3 linked regions of the Schizosaccharomyces pombe genome follow. Changing the gene in region 2 together with the main gene of any one other region gives a genetic interaction. Each region holds a gene or a part of one and is shown on either strand. Other genes may lie near its edges.

Region 1 (3,759 bases), 600 kb from region 2:
CTTTTCTGTTTTATAAAAAAAATAAATTTAAGATTGAACGTGAATTTTGTATACCAAATTTTATTTAAATAGACAATTACAAGTTCAAGTCTAGAAACGTTCTAAACTGATAGATAATATAATATCAATCAATACCTCAATTAGCGACACAAAATAACACCATTAAATTTCATAAAACTCTATAAAAATTGAAAGAGAAGTGTCCATTACACTTATCTTTGAACAAGGGAGTATAGCCTTCATCATATACATCTTGATAACGCGCGGACAAATCCGGAAATAATTAAATGATCTCAACAACAGTGGAATTAAGAAGCATATTTTGAACGGCTTCTCAGTTTCAGACCCCATTTATGTAGCACGAAAGGAATAGGAATCATTAAGCAAGCAACTATACCAAGGATAGTACTTCCCCAGGCAACTGGAGCATAGGAAGGGCCTGTATTATTAAACATAGCTCGGGCAAACAATGGGAATGATGCAGCCATAGCCGAACGAAATAGGTCGTTTCCAGCAAACACAGATGCAACGTACTTTGGGTATGAAGCAGCCAAATACTGAAACATACTTTGAAACATTAAAAAGGCCCCAGATGCGTAAAAGAGCGTACTGACGATTGGTACAATCCAATGGACCGATTCTCTTCCCGACCAGCCAAACCAGAAAAGGCAAATGGGAATAAAGAACGTTGCTGGAAATGAAATGACCAAAACTCCTTCCGGAGCAAAATCACCACCACTGGCCATGAATGCTGGGATCATCACTTTATACAGGAATACGAAATAGCAGGCTAAAGTAATCAAGGCACCCACGAGAATACCTAAGTAAACCAAGCCATTTTCAATAATGGTAAAATGGTAAACGCTAGTAAAAAGGATTGGGAAAGCTTCGAACCACAGATATAAAATTGAATAGATTAGCCCAATATATATATTTAAAGACAATACTATCGGCTCCGAAATACTTAGTATTATCGGACGAATTATGGTTTCCTTTGCAAGCTGAGCAACACTTAAATGGGAAGATGCCAATTCGGCCTCTGTTCTATAATTTTCGTTTCCAGTTATCTTACGGAACCTCTTTGCCCTCTTATATAATATATGCCATTCAGAAGTCTCTGGCATAAAAAAGAAGATAACAATCAATGCAAAGCCAGAAATCATCATCAAAAGCCAAAATTGCCATCTCCAAGATTCAGCAACGACCATCGCTCCACCAAGCAACGGTCCCAAAACTGGACCACCGATGGCTCCAATTGCCCAAAAACACATAAAGTAGGGAAGAAGCCATGGTTGCCAAATATCTGCCAAAGTAGCACCTCCAGTCGCTAGAGCTGGCGAGCCGAAGAAACCGGCCAAAAACCTCATTGGTAATAAGACGCCCAAGCTAGATCCCAGTGCGGTGGGAATCTGTAAACACACAAATACAAGGAGAGAAAGAACATAAATCTTTTGGCGACCAACTTGTGGAATCTCCGAGAGTGGAGACAAAATTAGGGGACCGATGGCATAGCCAAGTACAAAAAGAGTCAATCCCAAAACTACGGGAACAGTTCCTACGTGCATCGTTTCTTGCATTTCTGATATACCTGGAGTAAAAATTGCTGATCCCACATAAACCGCAAACGTTAAGAAGCAAATATCAAAAGTCACCACAAGCTTTGCCCACAAAGGCCAATTTAGGGGATTTTCGGGATCGTTGGCATCATCCCATCGCACAATAATGTGTCCCTCTGAATTAACTTCATGAATCTTCAGATCGCCGGATTCCGAGCTGCATGAGTCATTGGAATCTACTTTGCTAATGTCTTTCCATACTCTCAGTTTCTCTAAGTCGTTGTCATTGGAGTTGTGAGAAACGTATTCGACCAATTCGCCGAAAACGGTTTCCCTTAAAAATCCCATTTAAATGACCGTATGTAAAAACCAAAGTTAGTTCTATTTTTTGGTCTCGGTTAACTTTATTAAAAACTTGACAGATTATTTGCCCACACTTGCTGGTACAATTGTCTGGCTACATTCTTCTCCTAATATACCCTTCGTGCCTTACCTAATCAACGTGAATGTTTACTAAGTGTAAAGTAAGCATATATTGATTGATTAGTCAATTATGTGAGATTCCTTCTTTCAATTATCCATCGTATTCTAAGTCGTTTCAGTAAGCAGTATTAAAAGTGCAAAATCATCTTGTTGCTTATGTAAACAAAAAAAAAATTAAGATTGGAAGTTACAACAAACATTTCTAACGTACATCAGTCGATCGTCATCTCGCGTAAAAAATTCTGCCTTAATTTTTGTCAGCAAAAGAAAGCGAAATTAAAAAGTAAAAACAGAACTATATGACTAATCAAAACTAAGTATGAATTAATTCTTTTCAGAGTAATGCGAATACAACAGTTACTTAAAAAAATGATGTCGTTAAAAACAATTTTAACTTCAAACTATGATTAAGTAGGTAGACGATCGACGGAAGACAGAAAATAAGAGGGATTGCTATGCTTGCCGTTTTCCTTTGAAGACGATGTTTCAAGAAAATTAAAATTTAATATTTTACTTTTAAAGAAAAGCTTATATAAAAAATGACTATTAAACATCTGCAGTCATACGCACTTAATATTTGTCCAAATGAATATGCCGAAATTGTCTTGCTTTTAACTACTTCGCTTAAATTCCCAACTTTATCCCAAAAAGTAAAATCATATAGTTATTTCACAACATTAAGTTTACTTGAAAATGTCTAATCATTAATCATAAATAGTTTTAATAGAGAAAATGTGAGCTTCAAAAAAAACTTCCTCAGTTACATAATACTACAAGCATCGGTATCGAGCACTTCGTGTCCAAACCCATCATCCAAATGTGCACGATATGCAAGATGTGACAACATACGACTAGAAGAACGGTTAGTATTTACATGAGCAAATTAGAAGTATTCAACAAACCTCGTTATGTAGGAATCTCGCGACCCCTGCTGCCTATTCATTTCATTGGTAGCAATTATTTTGTAACTATTGGAAGTATGGTTCCTTGAACAACCTGATGGTGGAGTGTTCTCAGTATTGAATATCTTCACGGTGGAATCAATACCGGACACAGCAAGCGTGGGACAACGGGGATGCCCTTCTATAACGTTAACAGCTTCACTATCGCCATGGATAATTGCAAGAATGGAAGCATTTAACTTATCCCAAATAAAAAACCTGCCATCGTCAGAACCACTCATGACATATTCATCATTTTGACCATAGAAATTAACATTTTTAATAGACTCTACGTTGCAGTGACCATAATAACTTTTAACATGTGTGTTCACCGGCACATTTGGTTCCACTGCTTTCCGCTTCTTCATTCTTAAAGACAACAAAGTCGGACCTTCATCCGAATCCTCATCACTTTCATCATCATCATCACTAGCATAGGAGTAACTTTCCTCATCCTGGTAATCATCATCGTCATCATTGAGATCAGAATGCCCAGTATACATACTGACAATATTTTCTCCCGAACTACTTTCAACTTCATTTTCATAGTTCACTGGCGGTTCCAACAATGTCAAGAACCCGTTTTCATCATCAAGTCTTTGGCTGGAAGTAACGTCAGAAGTACTGCTGTCCCAAGGCTGAAATTGCTCCCAGTAGATATCGGAGGATATAAGAAGAAGACAACCGCGTAAAACTTTATGTATCCAAAAAAACCGCCTTACAGAAGATAAATCATTAGTATCTATCCTAGCAAATGCCCTAATCATTTCAGAGGGATT
Region 2 (3,466 bases):
CTGCTCTCGCAATGTACCCAATTTGGCAACTGCCTGAGCATGACGAGAGCGAAAATTAGCAATAGCAGAAGCAGTTGCGGCATCAAGCTTCAGCTTGCTAGCTACACTAGCCCAATCAATCGCCTTTCCAGCAGCGCTAGCAACTTTCGACATTTGCGTAAATAAAGAAGAAAAAATTCAAAATTCAATAAAATAACAGTTATATTGTTAAACAATTTAACTGTCTTATAAATATTTCCTGCTTTTGGTTATGTGTTGAAGAGATGGGGGTAGTTGGGGAACGGATGATTTAGCATTGCCAGAGCCATATTGCCAGGTGGTTTGGCTTTCAGCAGTAGGCTTCCTTAATGGTTCAAAAAATATCATATAATTGGGTAAATGAAAGCAACAAGTACAAAATTACTACAAAAAAAAAAATTAAGCGGTTAGAATAGAACTTGTGCCCTACAATTAGTATACGCTCCACTCATTCTTGTGCTAATAGAAATTCAAAGTTAGCTGTAAATTTTGATTTACCGGTGTATCACCAAATCACTTTGTACTTCTCATGTTTAATTTAAGATTTCATTTTTGAATGTCGAGAAAAATTATTTAGTAATTGGTTTATTGATAATTTATAAATAATATAAAAGAATTACCATAGTAAAAAGGAAAAAGAAAAGTTCTAAACATATTGCCATAACTATAGTTACTCGCGTAAACGTGCTTCCAATTCTGCTTTACGAGCTTTACGAAGCTGTTCAACCTCATCTTGACTAGTGTTATAGCTCACATTCATCTGAAATTGTTAGTAAAAATGATATTTACAATGGTTTTCCTGTTTAGGGTTTATACATGATATGGTCATCATCAAAAAGAGTATGCATGTACCCTTATCGCTTCTTACCTTATTGAAAGGATTGTCCGGATGTTTCTGAAATTCTTTATACATTATGTCTTCATATTGGTTTAAACGGAGGCCCGGTTGTTCTTTGCGTAGTTCAGGCAAACGAGATTGTTTGTATTCTGTCAAAGCTGCTTTAAACCGACGTTCAGGATGACGATCAATTTTATCTTTGGACGATGAATTGTTTAAACTTAACAAATCCAAAGCATCATCAATATTGCGGGCACTATATGAAGCTGTCTGAGGGGTTTCGTTGAGGAAAGCGTCTAAAGATGAATTCTTCTTTGCAGCCTTCTTTGACCCCTTTCCTCCTTTAGATGGAAGACTCTCCATTTCTTCTTTTTCTAAACGTTCACGTTCAGCTTTCCTCTCCAACGCAGCTTTTCGTTTTTCAGCTTCTTGCTCCTTTTTATTAGTTTTGACGCCCTTGGACCATTTTTCGTCTTCTTCAGCGTCTTTTTTTTTCTTTTCCTCGTCTTGTTTTCTAGATTTTGCCGCTTCGGCCTTTTCTGCTCTCTTTTTTGGATTCCCCATATCAAGGCTATTAATGGTATGTGAGATTTGAATGACTTGAACAACAGGTGATTTCTATATGCCGCCTCGTTATAAGAAAGGCGACGAAGGATGGATTAATAATCTGATCTGATAATTTTTATAAGTGAATGTCTCGTTATATCTCCCTATTTTTATCAGTGTATTTACAAAGGTGTATTGATAACACTGAACAAACGGCGTCAAACGTTGGTATGTAACTGAATTTTTATCACTAAAATAGAAAATAAAAGTTCTTAATTGGAAATCTGCTACTATTTATTTCCTTAAATGCCTTGATGCAGGCTAAGGGTATATTGAATGGTATAGACACTGCATAATACACCATAAATCCTTTTTATGACATGATGGCATTCTTAACAGTGATAACTCATTAAAAAGAGAAACAAAGTCAACCGATGTAAATTGATCATACTCTTCAATTACAATATTATATCATGACAATTGTTATGGACTTCGATGTGTATTTCATGAAGTTTGAAAAAGTAAAATATATCATCAAATTAAATGCTTATTCTTGCCAAATTATTCAACAATATCGTACAGTGAACAATTGCTTTCAAGTATTGATTAGTTTATTGTAATCTATATAAGTATTAAACTTCATCTTCGATACAAATAACGTACAAACTAACATTCCGATCATCTTAATTGTTAAAGGAATTAATGAATCTATAATTCTAAATTATTTTTTTTAGCACTTAAATTTACTCATCCTATTATTTACATTTACAGTATACGGTTTCTTAACGAGTATACGCTATTATTATGCCGAAACATGAATGCATATCAATTTTGGTTCTACCAGCACTGTTCCTCTATTTTGAAGGGTTTATAAGTTAAAGTCAAGTAAGCATTACCTCTGATTATTATTTCATTTTATATCAAGTTCTTAATCAACGTTCTTATTTTTTTAATTCGTGTCTCTATATTTTGACAATTACTTGAAAACTTGTCATACGACAAAGGTAAAGAAGGAATTGCTAGCATTTATAGCTTTAAAACGATGTATATTTTCTATTAGGGATATATTGTTATATTTTTGACTCTCAACGAATACTTCGTACTCGGTTCCTTCGATTGCTGTTTATCCTATCTGATATAAATTTGAAAATTTGAATTAGACCCTATGCTAACATATTCTTAGTTACATGTATATATAGAATTTTTTTTCGTTTAATTTTATTTTTGAAAATTAAACTTTTTGATCACCTTTCGTAAAAGTTCCTTTCGATGAGCTTTCTGAATTCTTGGAGAGCTGTTAAATATACAAATAAGCCTAAGGAAGAAGACATCAAACTCCCAAATTCTGCATCAAATCTTCCAACTACTGTACAAGCATGTGTGATACAGTTTATCTCTTCTCTAGTTAGTCCGGTTCACCCTCAATTGCTTTCGCCTGAAGAACTAGCAAAAGCATTTCAAAACTTTTACAAGCATACCGATGAGTTTATTGCTTCAACCCTTATCCCTCAACCCTCTTCAAAAGATCAAAATGTGCCTCTTTTGTTTCCTGAGGAAATAGATGCTCAGAAAAAGGCGAGACAACACTTGCTGAACCAAAAAGATGAATGGATGGACCAAATTGAAGATATAGTTTGCGAATATTTGTATGATCGGTATGTGATTACTTCGCCTACAATAACTGTTTACTAATATTGTGTTAGGATTTTCTGTTTATCTACAAGTACGGATGCTGCCAAAGATGACTTGTTAAAAAAATTTATTGCTTCTGAAGAAAAGAAAGAACTTATCAATTGCATTCCAATACCTGATGATGAAAAACTTACAAACCGGTTACATGAAGTCTCTGAAGCATTTTTTGCTCTCGATGAGCAACACACACCTAGATCGAAAATAAACACTTTTATGACCGTTAATTCAAGTATATTGAATGCCTCTCAACTTCCTCAAGAAGAATTGAATGCTGATTCTTTATTAAATTTGACCATATATTGCATTCTCTGTTATCCCGGATTTCATTTAATATCGCACCTGAATTTTGTGTTACGCTTTCGAAATGCAGAT
Region 3 (3,759 bases), on a different chromosome or scaffold from region 2:
AATTTAGCCAGAGAACGTCGACTTTACCCACGATTTTTTCAACCTGCTTGGCGGCATCCTTTTCACTCTCTAGAGAAGTGACATCCAACTTAATAATATGCACATTGGAATGAGACTTGCTCAACTCTTGTAATTCAGTAGCAGCTTCGGGTTTGCGAGCACTCGCAAACACAGTCGTTCCTTCTCTATTGCTTAACTCTTTAACAAGAGAGAGTCCAATACCACGATTCCCGCCTGCGATAAAGAAAATCTTGTCAGCCGAAGACATATTCTATTTTTTGAAGTACTCAGAAAATTCCAAAATTCACGAAAAGACTGAACCCTTAAAGGCTGTTCAGCTATTAACACATTTGATGTTGTTACGTCACTTCAGTCGCATATTTATTGCCTTAAAAGGTCGTCAAAAAGTAGTGAATGTATGGAAACATTGTCGTTAACCGTAAGCTACATTAAAGCATTGCAGTTCATGCCTTCATAGCTATTCAATTATTTACCAGACGTCGCTGTAATTTTGGCTGATAACATTGCCACTGTGGTTAAAAAATGGAAGAATTCGTTTTCCAGCTTTGGTGGTGGTAGGAGTAATTATCTACGATTTATAAAAGGTAGCTTCGAGTTTGAGGTTGAACAAAGTTTTTCTTTATATATTATTAAAATGCAGGCTACTCGTAAACAACTAGTCTCAAAAGACAAAACGAGTGGTTTTACTAGCTTTCCAAAACTGTAATAGTACATGACTGATTGAAGGGTACAACAATTTTTTCTTTTGATCTATGGTCATTTGTTCGTGTATATAGAATTGTAGAAGTTGATCATTTTTTTCCAAATCCTTTATTCTGGCATCGTTGCATAAGTACAAAAAAGAATATGTCTAAAAAGGAATGATGGTACCATCATAGTTGTAAAAAAGTCCATTATTTTCGGGCTTCAAATTGTCTACAACTTTCAACATATCTGAAGCGCTTTTCTCGGGTGTTAAGGCCTGCTTTGCAAAGAGATCCAAAATTTCCGGTTTCTTTTCAGCATGCTGATTTACAATTTCTTGAGCTGAATCGGTTCGGACAGCTCCGGGGTGAATTGAAATCACTATGAATCCTTCATCTTGTAGCTCAAAACTAATTTCCTTCATCGTATAATTTAAGGCAGCCTTAGATTGGCCATAAGCAGATTGACTTGAAGGGAAGAAAGCTCCCATGGATCCAGCTAATGATGAAGTAAAAACAATGATTTTAGATCTTCCTTTTTTTATAAGAGGATAAAAGGCTTGGTAGACATGAATTGGTCCTAAAACATTGGTTTTATAGTGAGAGTTCCAGACATCATCAGGAGTATTTACGACAGGACCAAAAGAATGGAAAACGGCTGAATTTACCCAGAGAACATCCACTGCATCAACTACTTTTGTAACTTCTTGAGCGGCTTCATTGGCACTCTCTAGAGAGGAGACATCTAACTTAATAATGTGCACATTGGAATGAGACTTGCTCCATTCTTGTAATTTAGTAGCAGCTCCAGGCTTGCGGGCACTTGCAAATACAACTGTTCCTTTTCTGTTGCTCAATTCCTTAACAAGAGAGAGTCCAATGCCTCGATTTCCTCCTGCAATAAAGTAAATTTTGTTGGTAGTAGACATATTCTAACACAATGTTTGAATGATCCTTGAATCCGTTTGAAAAGTGGATAATTTGGTGTCGGCAATTTATCATCAACTTCATGCTTATATACCAATTCTTCAAATCATTATGCTTACGTGATTTGAACCGTGAATTTTGATGCTTACATAATTGAATATACTCAGCGACAAGTTCATAAAAATTCATCGTATAGAACTTATTGTACTTTGTATTAGAAGACAATATAAATACATTTACAACCTATTTAGACGGTTTTTTAAACATATTCCCTTAATTCCGCTTTAATAAATTAATCAATTTCAGTTAAATTATTCTTCTGTTTCTGGTTTCTTTGACAAAGCATCATATAGATGATATGTATTTGAAGTTACTCACATGAGAATGCTGAGTTGCCAGTCGTATAGAAAAGCTTTAAATTGGGTACAAACAAACGACTCTTTAAATTGCTCCACCAAAAAATAAATTTATAAAAAAACAAGATAGCCGTAAGATGATCGATCACTCGGGAGTCATTTTTTGGACGATAAGCCTTATACGAATGAATACTCAAATTTGTTACATGAAACACATCTTTTAGATGTCCATGCTCACTAAATAGTTATGTTAAGCTTTTTTAAAGTTCTGAAGGCTTGTAAATATTTGTAAGGGCATGTAAATTCAACAAAAAAGAACGATTGTTTGAACACAACATCGTGCTGTAATCTAGACTGCAAAAACATCTTTAAAAAGGGGCATCAAAACCATCATGACTAACAAAAGATATGTCTAAAAGGGAATAATGGTCCCGTCATATCTATAAAAAGACCCGTTGTTTTCGGGTTTCAAATTGTCAACCACCTTAAGCATGGATGAAACGCTTTCTTCGGGTATGATAGTAACCTTTTTTAAGTAAGTCAGCATCTCGGGAGATGTTTCAGTAAATTTTTTGATAGCATCAGCATTCATATCAGTCTTTACTACTCCAGGATGAATGGAAATGAATGTGAAGTGTTCATCAGCTAGTTCGACACTAAGTTCCTTCATAGTGAAATTGATTGCTGCCTTGGACTGACCGTAGGCAGAGAATCCAGTAGCACGAAAGTCGCCCATTGAGCCGCATTCACTGGAAGTAAAGATAACCTGTCTGGTTTTTTTCTTTGTCAACAACGGATAAAAAGCTTTGAACACATGGATAGGTCCTAAAACATTGGTTTGATAATGAGCATTCCAAACTTCTTCAGGTGCTTCCATAACTGTATAGTAAGATTGACAAATACCAGAGTTCAACCAAAGAACATCAATTCCATCGACCGCCTTCGCAACGCTTTGAGCAGCTTCATTGGCACTCTGCTGAGATGTGACATCTAATTCAACAGTTTTAACATTAGGATGAGATTTGCTCCATTCTTGTAATTCAGTAGCAGCTTCGGGTTTGCGAGCACTCGCAAACACAGTCGTTCCTTCTCTACTGCTTAACTCTTTGACAAGAGAGAGTCCAATACCACGATTTCCTCCTGCAATAAAGTAAACTTTGTTGGTAGTAGCCATCTTTATAGTACAATCTCAAAGTCGTTTCTCAATTAGTTTTTGGTTAATAGTAACTGACACTTCCTTGGTGTTTTGCTGTACTTTTATTGATAAGGAGTGTTTGTTCGCTATTTCGTTTACGTGTGAAGAGCTGTGACATTTTGCACACGTTTGATTTTCTCAACCAAAAGCGTCAAATTTCATTCTACAAAATTCTATCGGTATTTGCTGCTTGATATTAACAGTCTTTTTATATGGGACTTGCATAAAATAAAAAAAGTAGAAGCCGTGTTAATTAATGAAATCGAAAATTTTGATTGTAGAGCGTAGTAAAGGATGAAAAAATTTTAAGAACTACTTTTCCTCGTTTTTGAAATCTTCCGGTAGAAAGAACTTGTCAGATTATAATAAAACAACTACAGAATCTATCTCATACATACATCGAAGCTGCAATTTTTTCTCAGGTTACTGGTTCACCTCTTAGGTCAATTTGCTCTACCAATTTAAACCCTCTGTAAGATAATATTTTTGTTGAGGAGAAAGAGAGAATCGTATATAGAGTGTCTTAGTAAGATTATATGACATGAAGTTTTACAGCATCTCAAGATTAGGCTTCTTT

Evidence for each region.
Region 1: of oxs1 (region 2) and caf5, changing one suppresses a phenotype caused by changing the other (phenotypic suppression), as found in Schizosaccharomyces pombe (one study listed by BioGRID).
Region 3: of oxs1 (region 2) and SPOM_SPCC663.08C, changing one suppresses a phenotype caused by changing the other (phenotypic suppression), as found in Schizosaccharomyces pombe (one study listed by BioGRID).

The regions. Positions count from the first base shown.
Region 1 is NC_003423.3:3,164,825-3,168,583, reverse strand, and holds caf5 (plasma membrane spermine family transmembrane transporter Caf5), read right to left. Parts: upstream 2,004-3,759; 5' UTR 1,905-2,003; coding exon 309-1,904; 3' UTR 99-308; downstream 1-98. Other genes in the region: iqw1 (WD repeat-containing protein), read right to left, coding at 2,800-2,890, 2,942-3,759.
Region 2 is NC_003423.3:2,564,388-2,567,853, reverse strand, and holds oxs1 (oxidative stress transcription coactivator/ribosome recycling protein Oxs1), read right to left. Parts: upstream 1,421-3,466; coding exon 887-1,420; intron 779-886; coding exon 689-778; 3' UTR 501-688; downstream 1-500. Other genes in the region: atp7 (F0-ATPase subunit D), read right to left, coding at 1-153; guanyl-nucleotide exchange factor Muk1, read left to right, coding at 2,672-3,057, 3,106-3,466.
Region 3 is NC_003421.2:1,647,129-1,650,887, forward strand, and holds SPOM_SPCC663.08C (short chain dehydrogenase ), read right to left. Parts: upstream 1,691-3,759; 5' UTR 1,634-1,690; coding exon 872-1,633; 3' UTR 561-871; downstream 1-560. Other genes in the region: SPOM_SPCC663.09C (dehydrogenase), read right to left, coding at 2,400-3,161.